Linked DNA regions of Saccharomyces cerevisiae S288C. The protein of the gene in region 1 purifies or fractionates together with the protein of each later gene. This does not show direct contact. Each region holds a gene or a part of one and is shown on either strand. Other genes may lie near its edges. The genes, in order: YGR054W, DED1, KRE33 and RIO2.

Region 1 (4,799 bases):
CAGCTGCTTCTCGTACCAAAATAAGATTGATCTGTTTTGGGAACAGTGGTCTGTGAACACGGAAACAGTACCAGCAAAGTTCCAATTGAAAAATTTTGAGAAACCTTGCCTAATTCAAGATGGAAAATAAGAAGTAAAAAAGACCTTTTGAAAGTTTCGCCTCATTTTCCTTGATCTGACTTTTTATCCCCTGCTTATCCAATTTTAGTTAGGAACTTTGGCATAATTTCAGTATTACATACTACCTAATCGACATAAAATAATATTACATATTCATTTTTTTAAAAAATAATCATAATCAATTTATCCTTTTTATTCCTTTTTTCTCCTGTGCAAGGTTGATGGTGATGTTTATGATGGTGTGTTTATTATTTACAAATAAAGATGCTATCTAATTCTTGTATATCGTATTAACATGCAAATGCACCGCGAGTGGCAATTTTCTTCTCGTAATGGATCAGTTCAACATCTTCAATGGTATGAACCAGAATTTTCGAATTTTCTTCGTTAAATTCGAATATGAATGTTCCCTTAATCAGCCGGGATAATCTCTTTTTTTTACTTCTTTTACCGTCGCCATCATTTTTCTTCTTCTCATCTTCTTTGGAATTTTGAGTTTCGTTGACCTTATTTTCCATTGACCTTTCAGCTGCATTTTCAAGGTACTCAGAGATAACACTTTGGTTCAAATTATTGGCTGTAGGATGTAAAATGTAGTCTATGACTGGTACCGACCTCATTGAAAATGAACCGCCTGCACCATTGCCTCGTTTCTCCTCTTTCAATCTGTCATTAATTTCTAATTTGGTAATCTTGCAATGGTCTTCCGGTATGCAGCTTTGCCATTTGATCACCAATTTGTCATTACATGTTATGGTATTATAACTCTGAAGAGCAGATTTAACTTCTTCATCATGCGATGTCGATGTTAGAGTCTTTACTGAACTTATATGCAAGCGACATTCATCGCCCAAGATAAACTTTCGTACTATCATTCGCATTGCATTCAAAGAAGCCATGTATTTTGATTTTCCATGTAACACTGGAATATATGGATGCGATGTTGGAAATAGTCTAAAAACAACGTTATCCGCCAACACTGACTCCTTGAACATTTTTTGTAACAAATTGGGAACACCTTTAACCACTAAATAATCTGTTATTTGCCCCAAATTGGCCACTTTTTGAGAATTGGAGTACCATCGAGGAAAGATTCCTTTGATAGATATTATGCCGGCTCTGCAAACACACTTTAGTAACATAAGTCTTTCCCCCTATTATCTATGAATATAAACTGTCTATCTTTCCTTGGTTGTGATGTATCGTTTTCCGTAGAGGCTTGCAGCTTTATGGCTCATACCTGTCATCCCTCTTTATGGGCCTTTTAAGGGCGCTCTCTACATTGTATTCTATTCATTTTTTTCGTAACCGTAACTACGCGCCTTCTTAACGCAAGGCGCTCGACTCATCATGAGATGCGTATGAATGTCTTTCAGTGTATAGAAATACATCTCACCAAATCTATTTATTTAACTAATATTTCTTTTAATATTTTCCTCAAGAAACTCAGGCAGTTAATGTTGTGTCCTATTTTTTTTAGTTCTTTCCCATTTTTATAGCACTCGTACAAAAGAAATCGAAATATTTCAATATGTTTAGACTCGGTTCTATGTGTTAAAACTGCAAGATGAAAAAGTAACATCTATCTTAGATTAAGGTCCTTTCTTTATATTCTTTACTTTATTAGTGAGCAGAAATATTATTAAAAATTGCCGCTGTCATACTGTACGATATTATTACCCGACCGCAGAATGTTCCTCAATACTTTCTTTTTCTTCCTTTTTTTCACTTCGCTTTCTTCATGTCCATCAATGAAATTTCAGCTTCATAGCGATTTATTTTCAGTGTACGTTATTCAATGAAGATTCCTTTTCCTCGATCTATCCAGACGACTAGACATAGCGAGAATTCTTTACGGTAGAAGCAACCTATAGATTACCGAATCATAACTTTCTTTAGTGTTGATTGAGACGTGTTGTGTTTAAACTATCCATTGCATCTCGATAAAAAAACATAGTACTACAACAAACAGTCAGGTTCAATAACACCTAAACATTATGTCATCTCAGTTTTTCCTGAAAACCTCTCAGGATATAGAGCTCTTCCAAAGCTACCCAACTTTTGAGCAATCCAACACAAACTCCAAGGATTTCCCTGTCATTTCCTCGGTTTTATCGCCATGTGGCAGATTTTTGGCTTTATCTACGAAGGAGAACGTCAAAGTTTTTACAGGTCCATGTTTGGATAACGTTCTATTAACAATGAAGTTGTCCGACGTCTATGACCTACACTTCTCTCCAGCAGGTAACTACTTAAGCACTTGGGAGAGAGCGTCTATACAAGACCCAAATCACAAGAACGTTAAAGTTTGGTATTTGAATAAACCATTTAAGAAAGATTGCGTTTCGGAGGATATAGTCCCTGCTTACGAATATCAAGCCAAATCCCAAAGCGGTTGGTTTTTACAATTCTCCAAATTAGACAATTATGGGCTAAGACTTTTTAAACACGACTTGAAGATTGTTAAATTAAGCTCCGCTAATGCCGACAATTTCGACTTCCAATCTCCGTTTGCTGTCTTGTCTGATGATGAAACGTCCCAACATTTCACCACCTACCTAATCTCTCCAGCTGAACATCCAACAATTTGTACTTTCACACCAGAAAAGGGTGGTAAACCGGCTCAATTAATCATATGGGCCCTCTCTGAAGGTAAAATCACCAAGAAAATTGCCTCCAAAACTTTCTTTAAAGCTGATTCCTGCCAATTGAAATGGAATCCATTAGGTAATGCTATTTTATGTTTAGCTATTACTGATTTTGATTCCTCAAACAAATCATATTATGGTGAAAACACACTATACTTACTGTCTTTCCAAGGTGTCAACGGGACTTTGGGTGGTAACTCTGTACGTGTTTCTTTAACCACTGGACCTGTCCACGATTTCACTTGGTCGCCAACTTCAAGGCAATTCGGTGTCATCGCTGGTTACATGCCAGCAACCATTTCCTTTTTTGACTTAAGAGGTAATGTTGTCCATTCATTACCTCAACAAGCCAAAAATACCATGCTTTTCTCTCCCTCTGGTCATTACATTCTTATCGCCGGGTTTGGTAATTTACAGGGCTCCGTGGAAATCCTAGATCGTCTCGACAAATTCAAGTGTGTGAGTAAATTTGACGCTACCAACACTTCTGTCTGCAAATGGTCACCGGGTGGAGAATTTATCATGACAGCTACCACTTCACCAAGATTGAGAGTGGATAACGGCGTTAAAATATGGCATGTATCAGGCTCTTTAGTATTTGTTAAAGAGTTCAAGGAGCTTTTGAAGGTAGACTGGAGGTCACCATGTAATTACAAAACTTTGGAAAACAAAGACGAAGCATTTTTCGAGAACCATATCATTAATAACTGGGAACCGCTACCTGATTCGACCACATCTTCACTTGATCCTAAAATATCCAATAAATCAGAATTGCAAATACATTCTAGCGTTCAAGAGTACATAAGTCAACACCCAAGCAGAGAAGCAAGCTCCAATGGAAACGGATCTAAGGCCAAAGCTGGAGGCGCTTATAAACCACCTCACGCAAGAAGAACAGGCGGTGGACGTATTGTCCCCGGAGTTCCTCCTGGTGCAGCAAAGAAGACCATCCCAGGGCTAGTTCCGGGCATGAGTGCCAACAAGGACGCCAACACCAAGAACAGGAGAAGAAGAGCCAATAAAAAGTCAAGTGAAACGTCACCTGATTCTACTCCGGCCCCATCTGCTCCTGCCTCCACAAATGCCCCCACAAACAATAAAGAAACTTCTCCAGAGGAGAAGAAAATAAGATCTTTACTAAAGAAATTAAGGGCTATTGAAACCTTGAAGGAAAGACAGGCCGTCGGTGACAAACTAGAAGATACGCAAGTTCTAAAAATTCAAACTGAAGAAAAAGTGTTGAAAGATTTGGAAAAGTTGGGTTGGAAGGATGAATAAACTAGAAGAAACTGATGTATCCATACAACTGTGTAAATATTAACAACGTCAAATAATACTACTTTGAATTGTTTTTTACTGTTTCCCAGGAGAATTACGCCAACCTCCCCCCTTTCTTTTTTTCCCTTGTTTTATTGTACTTTTCCACATATTTTTTTAACATCAAATAGTAATTGATACATACATAATTAGTGAGCATTTTCCTTATTTTTACGTCTCTTCTTGGCGGATTGCCACCAGCCGCATCTTACAATGTATGCCACGATACCGCCAGGCAATAAATGAATATGGAGTGTCACTTCGGCTCCGTAAGCCGGCGCTGCATCCGCCACCACAGTTTTTTTTAGCGTCGCTGTCGCCGCTTTGCCACAGAAAAAGAAAAAAAAAAAAGAAACGGCGCCGTGTAGGGTTTTGTATAACAGATCGGCCTAGCAGCCAGGAGATGGCACGGCGCCAACTGAAAAGTTAGACTGTGGAATTGCCGTTCACCACACTCGAGTGGCATCTAATAAACTGCCACAGTTGACTCAAGCGGTGCTACCTTCGCAGTTATTGCACACCATGGTAACACATAACACAGTCTTGCATTACAAATGTGGTTCCTCCTACTTGGCGGTGAATTTCTTGAGTCAGCCCGTTATTTTCATATGGTGATGTAAGATTACATACAGTATATATATATAAGGATGATTCTCACACAAACTTTTCCGCTGTTCATCATATTTTGTTTTTGGATTAGTTTCACATTCTGTA
Region 2 (4,464 bases), on another chromosome or scaffold:
CTGATACTTTGAACGCAGTGAAGAAGTCGTATTTAGAAAAAACCGAGAAAGATTTATCTGCTAGAAGATTTGTCGACGATGATCCTTATGATTTGGTTCAACACCTAGAAAAAAAAAAGAATCCCTATTGGTACTACCAATGGTAAGACTCGCTGTTCACTTGGTTGCACCAATAAGTAGTAACGCACATGTAAATATGAATGTAAGTAAACTAAAAAGAAAGTTGGGAACAAAGTATATTCAAAAACGAATATACAGGAAATAAGCAATAGAAAGTATTATGAATTATACTGTTGATGTTTATTCTATCTACAAAACACAAATAAAGTAGAGTATAAGGCGAGTCAATAAAAAGGCCTCAACTCAAAAAAGGGAGAGAAAATGTAGGAAGGAAATGAATACTATTATACAATGGTACTGTGAACAGTAAGAATATTTTCGTAAGGTAAAAAGAAACAATAACAAACAAAAAAGGTCGAAAAAACTGTTCAAAATAAAGTCTCTATTCGAAGAAAACTGAAAAAGTGGAAGTGGAAATAAAAGATAATGTAAATAATCAGTCCAATGAATAGATCGGTTAAAGCAATTAAGCAAAAATAGTGGAAAATATAGTAAAAGTAGATAATAATTCCTTCATCTTTTCACTAAAAGATGAAAATCTTAATTGCTTATAATCATAGTGAAATCTTTAGTTTTTTAGTTAATATTAGCAAAGGCATTTTATAGTACAATTGTAAAATAATATTAGAACCATGAAAGAAAAAAAAAACAAAAAAACGATGGATAAAAAATAAGAGTGGAAAAAAAGTAACAGATTAGTGGCTCCCAGTGAGAAAATAAAAAAAATATGGGGCCAATCAACGGCTAGAGAGAAACAAACAACACAGTATTTTCAGGACTTGGATAAAAAAAGTGATTGGAGAAAGAAAATATAAGACATGCTAGAGCAGAAAACGAAGAATCCTCACCCTAGTTTGTCTGAAATCACCACCAAGAAGAGTTGTTTGAACCACCGCTGTTACCCCAGCCAGAAGACTTGGAATCGCTACCCCAGCCACTACCGCCTCTGAAAGAGTTATCTCTGCTTCTTGAAGAGCCCCAGCCGCCTGCGCTAGCGCCTCCGGCCTTACGGTAATCTCTGTTGTTGTTGCGACCGAAACCGCCTCTACGGCTGTTGCTTCTGCTACCTGGAGCACTCATCATAGCGTCCTTCAAGAATGATGGGACTTCTTGGTTAGCTTCAGTCAAAATTTCATGCAAACCTTTAACAATGTTACTGTTTTCACTGTTGAAAAAGGCAGTGGCAAGACCGGTGTTACCGGCACGACCAGTTCTACCAATTCTATGGACGTAATCATCGACATCACTTGGTAAATCGTAGTTGATAACGTGGGTGACGTTTGGAATATCTAGACCTCTAGCTGCGACAGCTGTGGCAACCAATAAAGTAGCGGCACCAGATCTGAAGGCGGCCAAGGCACGTTCTCTCTCAGATTGGGTACGGTCACCATGAATGGCGGTAGCTCTAAAGTTTTGCATGATCAGGAAATCGGTCAATTGATCTGCCATTCTCTTAGTTTCGACAAAGATCAAAGTCAAACCGTCAGTGGATGCAGACAATAGATCCAATAAGGCTGACTTCTTATCTTGATTTTCAACGTATAAGACTTTTTGAGTAATGTTTTCTGAAGTAGAACCGACTCTACCAACAGACAAAAAGATGTAGTCACTTAAGAAATCACGGGCCAAATGTTGGATATCAGCGGGAAAAGTAGCTGAGAACATCAGAGTTTGTCTTTCACCAACAGGAGTCATATCACAGTCTTCGACAATATGTCTAATTTGAGGTTCGAAACCCATATCCAACATTCTATCAGCTTCATCTAGAACCAAATACTTGACGTTGGCCAAAGAAATTTTACCACGTTCCAACAAGTCATTCAAACGACCTGGAGTAGCGACTAAAAGATCGCAACCACGTTCAATTTCTCTTAGTTGGTTACCAATTGGAGAACCACCGTAGACGACGCAGGCCTTGACCCAGGATCTATAAGTAAATTTCTTGGCTTCATCGAAAATTTGGGTGGCCAACTCTCTAGTTGGAGCCATAATGACAGCAGTTGGGTAGGCCTTTCTTTGGTAAAAGGAGCCTTGAGACTCTGGTTGAGGAGATGGTCCAGTCTTAAATGATTCGGACAACACTGGGAATAAAAACCCACCAGTCTTACCAGAACCGGTCTGCGCACAGGCCATCAAATCTCTGCCGTTGGCAACGATAGGGACGGAGTATTTTTGCACAGGTGTTGGCTTGGTGAAACGGGCCAATTTGATGTTTTCCAATAACAATCCGTCCAATGGAGGTGAGGTAAATTCTGTGATTGGTTCAGGAACATCCTTACCAGAGGCGTCCACTGGAATATCATCGTAGTTATCGAAGTTAATACCAGAAGATTGGAAATTTGGATCCTCGGGGACACCAAATATGGCGATCTCGGCCTTTTCGTTTCTTGGAGCTGGGACATGTTTGCCATCGATCCATCTACCACCAGAACGGCCGTTAGATCTGCTGCCACCGTTGTTTCCACCGAAGAAACCACCGTTGCCGTAACCACCACGACGGTTGTTGCTAAAGAAGCTGCCACCGCCACGGCCACCGTTGTAGCCGCCGTTGTTGTTATTGTAGTTGCTACTGTTATTTCTGGCACTTCTTGGTTTTCCTCTTAAGTGAGGAGGAACATAACCATTCTCGTTGTTGTCGTTGATGCTTAAATTTTGCACTTGTTCGCTCAGTTCAGCCATAATATGAAATGCTTTTCTTGTTGTTCTTACGGAATACCACTTGCCACCTATCACCACAACTAACTTTTTCCCGTTCCTCCATCTCTTTTATATTTTTTTTCTCGAGTTCAAGAGAAAAAAAAAGAAAAAGCAAAAAGAAAAAAGGAAAGCGCGCCTCGTTCAGAATGACACGTATAGAATGATGCATTACCTTGTCATCTTCAGTATCATACTGTTCGTATACATACTTACTGACATTCATAGGTATACATATATACACATGTATATATATCGTATGCTGCAGCTTTAAATAATCGGTGTCACTACATAAGAACACCTTTGGTGGAGGGAACATCGTTGGTACCATTGGGCGAGGTGGCTTCTCTTATGGCAACCGCAAGAGCCTTGAACGCACTCTCACTACGGTGATGATCATTCTTGCCTCGCAGACAATCAACGTGGAGGGTAATTCTGCTAGCCTCTGCAAAGCTTTCAAGAAAATGCGGGATCATCTCGCAAGAGAGATCTCCTACTTTCTCCCTTTGCAAACCAAGTTCGACAACTGCGTACGGCCTGTTCGAAAGATCTACCACCGCTCTGGAAAGTGCCTCATCCAAAGGCGCAAATCCTGATCCAAACCTTTTTACTCCACGCACGGCCCCTAGGGCCTCTTTAAAAGCTTGACCGAGAGCAATCCCGCAGTCTTCAGTGGTGTGATGGTCGTCTATGTGTAAGTCACCAATGCACTCAACGATTAGCGACCAGCCGGAATGCTTGGCCAGAGCATGTATCATATGGTCCAGAAACCCTATACCTGTGTGGACGTTAATCACTTGCGATTGTGTGGCCTGTTCTGCTACTGCTTCTGCCTCTTTTTCTGGGAAGATCGAGTGCTCTATCGCTAGGGGACCACCCTTTAAAGAGATCGCAATCTGAATCTTGGTTTCATTTGTAATACGCTTTACTAGGGCTTTCTGCTCTGTCATCTTTGCCTTCGTTTATCTTGCCTGCTCATTTTTTAGTATATTCTTCGAAGAAATCACATTACTTTATATAATGTATAATTCATTATGTGATAATGCCAATCGCTAAGAAAAAAAAAGAGTCATCCGCTAGGTGGAAAAAAAAAAATGAAAATCATTACCGAGGCATAAAAAAATATAGAGTGTACTAGAGGAGGCCAAGAGTAATAGAAAAAGAAAATTGCGGGAAAGGACTGTGTTATGACTTCCCTGACTAATGCCGTGTTCAAACGATACCTGGCAGTGACTCCTAGCGCTCACCAAGCTCTTAAAACGAGAATTAAGAAAAAGTCGTCATCTTTCGATAAGTTTTTCCCACAGCAAAGCAATAGTAGAAAAAAACAATGGGAAACGTTGAATGAAGACAAAGCGTCGTGGTTTAAAAGGAAATACGCTCACGTACATGCTAGGGAACAGGACCGTGCAGCGGATCCATATGGCAAGAAAAAGGCCCACGTCGAGAAGCTAAAGGAGATCAAGAATCAGGCGAAATTAAACCAAAAGAGCCATAAATCCAAGTTCCAGAATAAGGACATTGCTCTGAAACTTATGAATGATAATCCTATCTTCGAATATGTCTACGGCACCAACAGCGTTTATGCAGCGTTGCTGAACCCGAGTAGAAATTGCCATTCTCGGTTGCTGTACCATGGCACTATTCCTA
Region 3 (5,944 bases), on another chromosome or scaffold:
GATGGGTTGATCTCTTTGCGCTTTGGAGGGCTTCCATGTCATGTCCAAGCCAAAACTATGTGTAAGGATCATACCAGCCGTGGTCAATGAGACTGGGAGGGATACTGCCCCTTCTAAAGATTTTACGGGGCCTTCTGGTAGCTTGTCTTTACCGCACAATCTAAACTCTCTGGCTGGTTTATAAGCAGTCTCGGATGAAATGGCAGAGTACTCAGCAAAGGCACCGTTTGAGGGGAACCTCACTGAAGCACCGTGAATAACCCCATAAATGTAATCACCAATGGCAAAGCGTGCAGCATCAACATTTGGGCCCAACTTTACGATTTGGCCGGCTGCATCACAGCCTAAGAGGGCACCTTGAGGACCAATCTTGAAATCAATATGTTTCCAATCGGTAGGGTTACCGGCAACGGCGACAGTCTTAATTAGAACAAATCCTTCTTCTAATTCAGGAATTGGAATGTCCTGTTTGACTACAGCCTTGCCATTTTCAATGACAACGGCTTTCATGGTTTCTGGAATCGAGGCGGACATGCTTGATATGCAGTATGATATTGCTTTTTGCTGTGTATAGTTAACGATTTTTTTTCAACTAGAATTACAGTACTAATCAAGAAGTGAGAGGAAGAAAACGGCAAAAAAAAAACTCTCTCCTTTTAAATCGAAGCATTGCCGAAATACCTTAAAAACGGTCTTAAATCCTTAACATCTGTCCTTACTAATCGATGCCAATCCAACGGAGGGAGCCCATATGCTAGGTACTAAGAGTACGCAGGGGCGGAACCGCGCGACAACCGTAAGCGGATCCGAGGAACTTTAGTCAGCAGGGGCTGTGATGACCATTAAAAAATTGCGGACACAGGTAGTGGAACGAGCAATCAATGTGATCAATTTGCCATTTCATTCCACGAAATGGTTTCCATTCTAAGCATGAATGCTTTGACGTTACGGGTGTTGGTTATTTCGGTTCTTTTTATTGCTTCCGTGGGCACGTACGAGAAGGGAAGATGAATAGAAAAAGAGTTTCCGAGTTTTGTATGTCCAATGTTTACATAATTTATATAACTTGAAGTTTAATCTTGGCATAAAGCTCTAGTTGTGACGAAGTGTGTAGGCCATCACATCAGTTCTCCAGTTTTCTACCCAATTTTTTTATGGATACCTTGATTTTTGGTTTAGGGCTGGATGTCTTTACGCCCTTTATTTGTGTTTTACTGCCCAAACTAGTGCCGGTCTCTAAATATTTTTCTGTATTAGTAGTAGAATCGTTCTCCATTAGTAATGCTTTTTTTTTCTTTTCAAAATTGATTGCCTTGACGTCTAAGTAGTTATTCAGTTCTTTTTCCTTTTTTAGCAACTCATTCTTGCTCTTCTGGTAAAATTCCAGGTCCTCTTTACTCAACCTAGTAAAACTTTCACGGTCTCTCACCAAACCGTTATATTGTTTTTGTTTACTAATAGCATTAGACCTAAGCTGATCTCGCAGGGACTTCCTGGTTTTCCTTTTATATTCCGCTTCATATTTTTTTTGCTCCACTTGCTCTCGTATCCTCTGGGCCTCTACATTACCAACTCCTTCTGACACGAATTTCAGTGGTTTTTTCTCTCTTGCACTATTAGCATTATTATCACTGGTAGATGACATGATGATATAACAGAGCCCACAGTCTTTTGTTGGAACCGCTTTCTCTAGGCTTCGATGGACTTACATCTAATTGCACATTCTCGTGCGTTTAAACGTCATTTTTCCCTCAGATTGGCAGTGCATCAAAAGTAATTCCTAGGGACGACAAAAAGGCGGAAAAGGTTTCAGAAAAATAAGCGGACTTAGCTCAGTTGGGAGAGCGCCAGACTGAAGAAAAACTTCGGTCAAGTCATCTGGAGGTCCTGTGTTCGATCCACAGAGTTCGCAATTTGAAAAATTTTTTTTAATGATTACGCATGTGGATGTGTTCAGTATCAACCGATGCTCGCTTTTCCAATCAAATGATACAAGCCAGACCGAACATTGCATGTTTTCCATTGTAACTTCCCAGGTATATCTGAATTAGTTGTAAAAAGTAATAGTTTACCCGGAATCGTGTGAAAAATTTTGAAAAAAAAAAATGAAGAGCCAAGATACAATGAGATGAGATGAGGTGCTGAAGATGCATGGAGATTCTGTATTTATCTCAAATAAAGTACGCAATAGAGTATATAAGCCAAGTCACCTTTTATATTTCTTAGTTTTTAACTTGCAAAGACTTATAAGAGACTTATAAAACAAGGAGAAAATGGCCAAAAAAGCTATCGATTCAAGAATCCCGTCACTGATCAGGAATGGTGTTCAAACCAAACAAAGGTCCATATTTGTCATCGTTGGGGACAGGGCACGTAACCAGCTCCCAAATTTACATTATTTGATGATGAGTGCTGACCTTAAGATGAACAAGTCCGTCTTATGGGCTTATAAGAAGAAGCTTCTAGGATTCACTTCGCACAGAAAAAAAAGAGAGAATAAAATTAAGAAAGAAATTAAAAGAGGTACAAGGGAAGTGAATGAAATGGACCCTTTTGAATCTTTTATCTCTAACCAAAATATCAGATATGTATACTACAAAGAGAGTGAGAAAATATTGGGTAATACCTATGGTATGTGTATTCTTCAGGACTTCGAGGCATTAACCCCAAATCTTTTAGCAAGAACCATTGAAACTGTAGAAGGTGGTGGTATTGTGGTTATTTTATTGAAATCAATGTCATCGTTAAAGCAACTGTACACCATGACTATGGATGTTCACGCCCGTTATCGTACTGAGGCTCATGGTGACGTTGTTGCAAGATTTAACGAAAGATTCATACTTTCTTTAGGTTCAAATCCAAACTGTTTAGTCGTTGATGATGAATTAAATGTTCTACCGCTATCTGGTGCCAAAAACGTGAAACCACTACCTCCTAAGGAAGATGACGAATTGCCTCCAAAGCAATTAGAGTTGCAAGAATTAAAAGAATCCTTAGAAGATGTCCAACCAGCTGGTTCATTGGTTTCTCTATCCAAAACTGTCAATCAAGCCCACGCTATTCTTTCTTTCATTGATGCCATTTCGGAAAAAACTTTGAATTTCACAGTTGCACTAACAGCTGGAAGAGGTAGAGGTAAGTCTGCTGCTTTAGGTATTTCTATTGCCGCGGCCGTTTCTCACGGGTATTCTAATATTTTTGTTACTTCTCCATCTCCCGAAAATTTAAAGACTCTATTTGAGTTTATTTTCAAAGGATTCGATGCCTTAGGTTACCAAGAACACATTGATTATGATATCATTCAATCTACGAACCCCGACTTCAACAAAGCCATTGTGAGAGTTGATATTAAAAGAGATCACAGACAAACGATTCAATATATTGTTCCTCAAGACCATCAAGTTCTGGGCCAAGCTGAATTAGTTGTCATTGATGAAGCTGCAGCTATTCCTTTGCCAATCGTCAAGAACTTGCTGGGCCCATATCTAGTCTTCATGGCATCCACTATCAATGGTTACGAAGGTACGGGTAGATCTTTATCTCTGAAGTTAATTCAGCAATTGCGTAATCAAAACAACACATCCGGTCGGGAAAGTACTCAAACCGCCGTTGTTTCGAGAGATAATAAGGAAAAAGACTCTCACTTACATTCTCAATCCCGTCAATTACGTGAAATTTCCTTGGACGAACCAATCAGATATGCTCCTGGTGACCCAATTGAAAAATGGTTAAACAAGCTCTTATGTTTAGATGTTACTTTAATTAAAAACCCAAGATTTGCAACAAGAGGAACTCCTCACCCATCCCAATGTAATCTATTTGTTGTCAATAGAGATACTCTATTTTCTTATCATCCTGTCTCAGAAAATTTCCTGGAAAAAATGATGGCACTGTACGTTTCATCCCATTACAAGAATTCTCCAAACGACTTACAACTGATGAGTGACGCCCCAGCGCACAAACTATTTGTTCTTTTACCACCAATTGATCCAAAGGATGGCGGCAGGATCCCTGACCCTCTATGTGTCATTCAAATTGCATTGGAAGGTGAAATCAGTAAGGAGAGTGTCAGAAATTCATTATCGAGAGGCCAAAGAGCTGGTGGTGATTTAATCCCATGGCTGATCTCTCAACAATTCCAAGACGAGGAATTCGCTAGTTTGAGTGGTGCTCGTATCGTCAGAATTGCCACTAATCCTGAATACGCATCCATGGGCTATGGTTCTCGTGCAATTGAATTACTGAGAGACTATTTCGAGGGTAAATTCACTGACATGTCTGAAGATGTTCGTCCTAAGGATTATTCTATAAAGAGGGTGAGCGATAAGGAACTGGCCAAAACTAATTTATTAAAGGATGACGTTAAATTAAGAGACGCAAAAACGTTGCCACCTCTACTATTAAAACTTTCTGAACAGCCTCCTCATTATCTACATTATTTGGGTGTTTCATATGGTTTAACGCAATCGTTGCATAAATTCTGGAAGAATAACAGCTTTGTTCCTGTTTATTTACGTCAAACCGCAAACGATTTAACTGGTGAACATACTTGTGTTATGTTGAACGTTTTGGAAGGCAGAGAATCAAACTGGCTCGTTGAATTTGCCAAAGATTTCCGTAAAAGATTTCTGTCGCTTCTTTCTTATGATTTTCATAAGTTTACTGCCGTTCAAGCCTTAAGTGTCATTGAAAGTAGTAAGAAAGCACAAGATTTGTCTGATGACGAAAAGCATGATAATAAAGAATTGACGCGGACGCATCTGGATGACATTTTTTCTCCATTTGACTTGAAAAGATTGGATAGCTACTCAAATAATTTGCTAGATTATCACGTTATCGGTGATATGATACCCATGCTTGCTCTTTTGTACTTCGGCGATAAAATGGGAGATTCAGTAAAACTATCAAGCGTCCAGAGTGCTATCCTGTTGGCTATAGGGTTACAGCGTAAAAACATCGACACTATTGCCAAGGAATTGAATTTACCTTCCAATCAAACTATTGCTATGTTTGCGAAGATCATGAGAAAAATGTCTCAGTACTTCCGTCAGCTGTTAAGCCAATCAATTGAAGAAACTCTACCAAATATCAAAGATGATGCTATTGCTGAAATGGATGGTGAAGAAATCAAAAATTACAACGCTGCAGAAGCACTGGACCAAATGGAAGAAGATTTAGAAGAAGCCGGTTCTGAAGCCGTTCAGGCGATGAGGGAAAAACAAAAAGAGCTAATCAACTCCTTGAACTTAGATAAATACGCCATAAATGATAACAGTGAGGAATGGGCTGAATCTCAAAAATCTTTAGAAATAGCTGCCAAGGCCAAAGGCGTCGTCAGTTTAAAAACTGGTAAAAAGAGAACGACTGAAAAGGCTGAAGATATCTATAGACAAGAGATGAAAGCTATGAAAAAACCAAGAAAGTCTAAAAAGGCTGCAAATTAAGCGTTCTACTCTTTGTCAAACCCTTTTATAGCTAAACGTTTACTTAATTTGTACAATAATATAGAATAGAAACATAGTTGATGTTTGAACCTTTACATATTCCTTTCAATCGTGTCGAGCGATATAAGTATTACGATTATGCCGGCGAAAACTGAACCCGTTTTAGACAATTTCAATCAACATACTCCACTCCGTAGTGAGTAACTTTTGGAGTAATACGAAGTAACCAAAGAGGTCAAAACGGAACTATATACCCCAAAATAAGCATCATTCAAATGGTCGAATTAACTGAAATTAAAGACGATGTCGTTCAATTAGACGAACCACAATTTTCCAGAAATCAGGCCATCGTGGAAGAAAAGGCTTCTGCAACAAACAACGACGTTGTCGATGATGAAGATGACTCTGATAGTGATTTTGAAGATGAATTTGATGAAAATGAAACATTGTTGGACAGAATCGTTGCTTTAAAAGACATTGTCCCCCCAGGTAAGAGACAA
Region 4 (3,725 bases), on another chromosome or scaffold:
GAACGTGTCAACTGTAAAGAAAACACTTTGTTGGGTGAATTCGACTTGAAGAACATCCCAATGATGCCAGCTGGTGAACCAGTCTTGGAAGCTATCTTCGAAGTTGATGCTAACGGTATCTTGAAGGTTACTGCCGTCGAAAAGTCTACCGGTAAGTCTTCTAACATCACTATCTCCAACGCTGTCGGTAGATTGTCTTCTGAAGAAATTGAAAAGATGGTTAACCAAGCCGAAGAGTTCAAGGCTGCTGATGAAGCTTTTGCTAAGAAGCACGAAGCTAGACAAAGACTAGAATCCTACGTCGCTTCCATCGAACAAACCGTCACTGACCCAGTCTTGTCTTCTAAATTGAAGAGAGGTTCCAAGTCCAAGATCGAAGCTGCTTTGTCCGATGCTTTGGCTGCTTTGCAAATCGAAGACCCATCCGCTGATGAGTTGAGAAAGGCAGAAGTTGGTTTGAAGAGAGTTGTCACCAAGGCCATGTCTTCTCGTTAAGATGTCATTCTGGTTAAGGTTATACACATATATATATTTTTCATTTTTAATGTCTTAGCTTTTGTATCTTAGATGAAGTTTTAGTTCTGTATATCACGATCAAGATATCATACAATCATAAATTCAATTATTCTTCTGTTTCCCCTCTTGAGGCATCAAACGAGTGTTTGACTGATACACACCAACATACTAAGGCAACTTTTCTGGCTGCCCAAAGCTGTGGCACGTATGAAACTGCTTTTCGGCTGCATAAAACAACCATGTGGAGTTTTTACTGTATTCGCATTTCGCCCCGCTAGCATTCTTCGTTCATGCTAAAAATGAGGCGTGGGCTAATATTCAGTATTAATAATTCCGGCACCCGCACAGCCCATACCGGAAAAGGGGCTGGCTGTTGGGCTTGGCAAAAAACTCAATCTGAGCAGTCATTTATAAAGAAAGACTTTAATTTGTCTTGCTAAACACTTGTAAGCCTTCCAAATATAGATCACTTAAGACAATCTAACAAGTGTCCAAAATGTCTGCAAACGAATTCTACTCAAGTGGCCAACAAGGTCAATATAACCAGCAAAACAACCAAGAAAGAACTGGTGCTCCAAACAACGGTCAATATGGTGCCGACAATGGTAACCCCAACGGTGAACGTGGTTTATTTTCCACTATTGTAGGTGGCAGTGCCGGTGCGTACGCTGGATCTAAGGTGTCGAACAACCATTCTAAGTTGAGTGGTGTGCTGGGCGCCATAGGTGGTGCATTCCTTGCCAACAAGATATCTGATGAGCGTAAAGAGCATAAGCAACAAGAGCAATACGGCAACTCAAACTTCGGAGGTGCTCCTCAAGGTGGACACAACAACCATCACCGTCAGGACAATAACAACAATAACGGTGGATTTGGCGGTCCAGGCGGCCCTGGCGGTCAAGGTTTCGGAAGACAAGGCCCACAAGGATTTGGAGGTCCTGGTCCACAAGAGTTTGGTGGTCCAGGTGGCCAAGGATTCGGTGGTCCAAATCCTCAAGAATTCGGCGGGCCAGGTGGCCAAGGATTCGGTGGTCCAAACCCTCAGGAATTCGGGGGCCAAGGTCGTCAAGGATTCAATGGCGGTTCACGTTGGTGAATGGCTCAACAGAGTGAGTGTCATTTTTAGCTAACTACATACTTGATTTATCTATATATACATATATACTACTCGTTTTATTATGATGTCGTAACAAATGACTTATTCGAGAAAAGAAAACGTGAAAAAATAAGCTAAAAATTTGGCGATGAGGTTCTCTGTTGAAGTTGGAACCCGCAATTCATGATTTTGGTAAGGTCAAGGATCATCAGTAATTAGCTTAAAGTAAGAACTACTCAATAATATTAAACCATTTATCCTTGGCTCGTCTTTCTATTGACCAATCAATACTATTTTAAACATCTCTTCTACCACATACTTTCAATCAGACTAGAATGAAATTGGATACTTCTCATATGAGATATTTGACAACTGATGATTTTCGTGTCCTCCAGGCCGTTGAACAAGGTTCTAGAAGTCACGAAGTCGTTCCAACTCCCTTGATTCATCAAATCTCGGGGATGAGATCGCAGTCCGGAACAAACCGAGCCATTAGTGATTTGGCCAAGCTTAGCCTTATTTCCAAAATGAGAAATGTCAAATATGATGGTTACAGGCTAACTTATAACGGTATTGATTATTTGGCTTTGAAAACCATGTTAAACAGAGACACTGTCTATTCTGTCGGTAACACTATTGGTGTTGGTAAGGAATCTGACATCTATAAAGTAAGTGACAAAAATGGAAACCCTAGAGTAATGAAAATTCACAGATTAGGTAGAACCTCTTTTCATTCCGTCAGAAATAATAGAGATTATCTGAAGAAATCCAACCAGGGGGCAAACTGGATGCATCTTTCACGTTTGGCAGCCAATAAAGAATATCAGTTTATGTCCATGCTTTATTCTAAGGGTTTCAAGGTCCCTGAGCCATTCGATAACTCGCGTCATATAGTCGTTATGGAGCTTATCGAGGGTTACCCAATGAGGAGATTAAGAAAACATAAGAATATACCCAAGCTTTATAGTGATCTGATGTGTTTCATCGTTGATCTAGCAAATAGCGGACTTATCCATTGTGATTTTAATGAGTTTAATATTATGATAAAGGACAAACTAGAGGATGAAAACGATTGTGGGTTCGTAGTTATTGATTTTCCACAATGTATATCTATTCAACACCAAGACGCCGACTATTATTTCCAAAGGGATGTTGACTGTATTCGTCGTTTCTTCAAAAAGAAACTGAAGTACGAACCAAAACCTGATTCATCAATGCTCGACACTGAAGGTTTCGGCGATGGTTATAAATATGCGTATCCAGATTTCAAAAGGGACGTTAAAAGAACCGACAATTTGGATGAATTGGTGCAGGCTTCCGGATTTAGCAAAAAGCATCCAGGAGATAGGGGCCTGGAAACTGCCGTTGAAAGCATGAGAAATGCTGTTTATAATTCAGATGACGATATGTCTAATGACGAGGCCGAAGAAGAAAATGGGGAGGGCGATTATTCAGAGGAGGATGAATACTATGACTCCGAACTTGATAATGAAAGTTCTGAAGATGACAGTGAAGATGCACAAGAAGAGGAGAACGAACGTATTATAGAGGCGCTTTCCAGTGGTGTTGAAAATCTAAAAATGGATAAACTAGGAAACTATATACTAGAGTAGTTTAGTTTAGACGACTGCATAAATGGCCGCAAATAATCAAGTTGTTATCCATAATTTTTTTGATTTTTAAGCCATGTTATTCTTCAGGATAAAAAAAGTGGTATTTATGAACTCTTACATATGCGTATTCATGCTATATTATAATATCGAATCTAAGTCAATCGTATTCTACTCCGGATCCATCCTCATCATCTTCATCGTCATCATTATCAATTTCTATCGGAATATCTTCGAGTTCTAACGGCTCCTTAAACTCTTTGTATTGGAGTTCCTGTTCTGGTTGACCATTTATAGAAGCAAAACTATTATCTCTATTCAAAGCGCTTTGGCCCTTTTTGTCTTCCTCTTCATCGTCTTCTTCATCATCTTCTTCTGCTTCCTCTCCGTCTTCTGCACCGTCTGAGGATTCTTGGCCACTCCCATCGGAAAGGTCGCTCTCAGCTTCGAAATTTTGGTCATTTTCTTCATCATCGTCTGAAAACACACCTGCCTTTTTCTCG

Evidence for each region.
Region 2: the proteins of YGR054W (region 1) and DED1 purify together in Saccharomyces cerevisiae (affinity purification with mass spectrometry, with the first as the bait; 3 studies listed by BioGRID). This does not show direct contact.
Region 3: the proteins of YGR054W (region 1) and KRE33 purify together in Saccharomyces cerevisiae (affinity purification with mass spectrometry, with the first as the bait; 2 studies listed by BioGRID). This does not show direct contact.
Region 4: the proteins of YGR054W (region 1) and RIO2 purify together in Saccharomyces cerevisiae (affinity purification with mass spectrometry; 3 studies listed by BioGRID). This does not show direct contact.

The regions. Positions count from the first base shown.
Region 1 is NC_001139.9:594,576-599,374, forward strand, and holds YGR054W (translation initiation factor 2A), read left to right. Parts: upstream 1-2,117; coding exon 2,118-4,046; downstream 4,047-4,799. Other genes in the region: protein kinase FMP48, read left to right, coding at 1-130; MCO32 (Mco32p), read right to left, coding at 411-1,262. UniProt on the Saccharomyces cerevisiae protein: Functions in the early steps of protein synthesis of a small number of specific mRNAs. Acts by directing the binding of methionyl-tRNAi to 40S ribosomal subunits.
Region 2 is NC_001147.6:721,246-725,709, reverse strand, and holds DED1 (DEAD-box ATP-dependent RNA helicase DED1), read right to left. Parts: upstream 2,800-4,464; coding exon 985-2,799; downstream 1-984. Other genes in the region: GEP3 (Gep3p), read left to right, coding at 1-146; imidazoleglycerol-phosphate dehydratase HIS3, read right to left, coding at 3,102-3,764; MRM1 (Mrm1p), read left to right, coding at 4,002-4,464. UniProt on the Saccharomyces cerevisiae protein: ATP-binding RNA helicase involved in translation initiation. Remodels RNA in response to ADP and ATP concentrations by facilitating disruption, but also formation of RNA duplexes.
Region 3 is NC_001146.8:373,048-378,991, forward strand, and holds KRE33 (ribosome biosynthesis protein KRE33), read left to right. Parts: upstream 1-2,273; coding exon 2,274-5,444; downstream 5,445-5,944. Other genes in the region: YNL134C (uncharacterized protein), read right to left, coding at 1-534; FYV6 (Fyv6p), read right to left, coding at 1,124-1,645; TOM22 (Tom22p), read left to right, coding at 5,720-5,944. UniProt on the Saccharomyces cerevisiae protein: RNA cytidine acetyltransferase with specificity toward both 18S rRNA and tRNAs. Catalyzes the formation of N(4)-acetylcytidine (ac4C) at positions 1280 and 1773 in 18S rRNA.
Region 4 is NC_001146.8:253,406-257,130, forward strand, and holds RIO2 (protein kinase RIO2), read left to right. Parts: upstream 1-1,947; coding exon 1,948-3,225; downstream 3,226-3,725. Other genes in the region: Hsp70 family ATPase SSB2, read left to right, coding at 1-495; YNL208W (uncharacterized protein), read left to right, coding at 1,013-1,612; RTT106 (Rtt106p), read right to left, coding at 3,383-3,725. UniProt on the Saccharomyces cerevisiae protein: Required for the final endonucleolytic cleavage of 20S pre-rRNA at site D in the cytoplasm, converting it into the mature 18S rRNA. Involved in normal export of the pre-40S particles from the nucleus to the cytoplasm.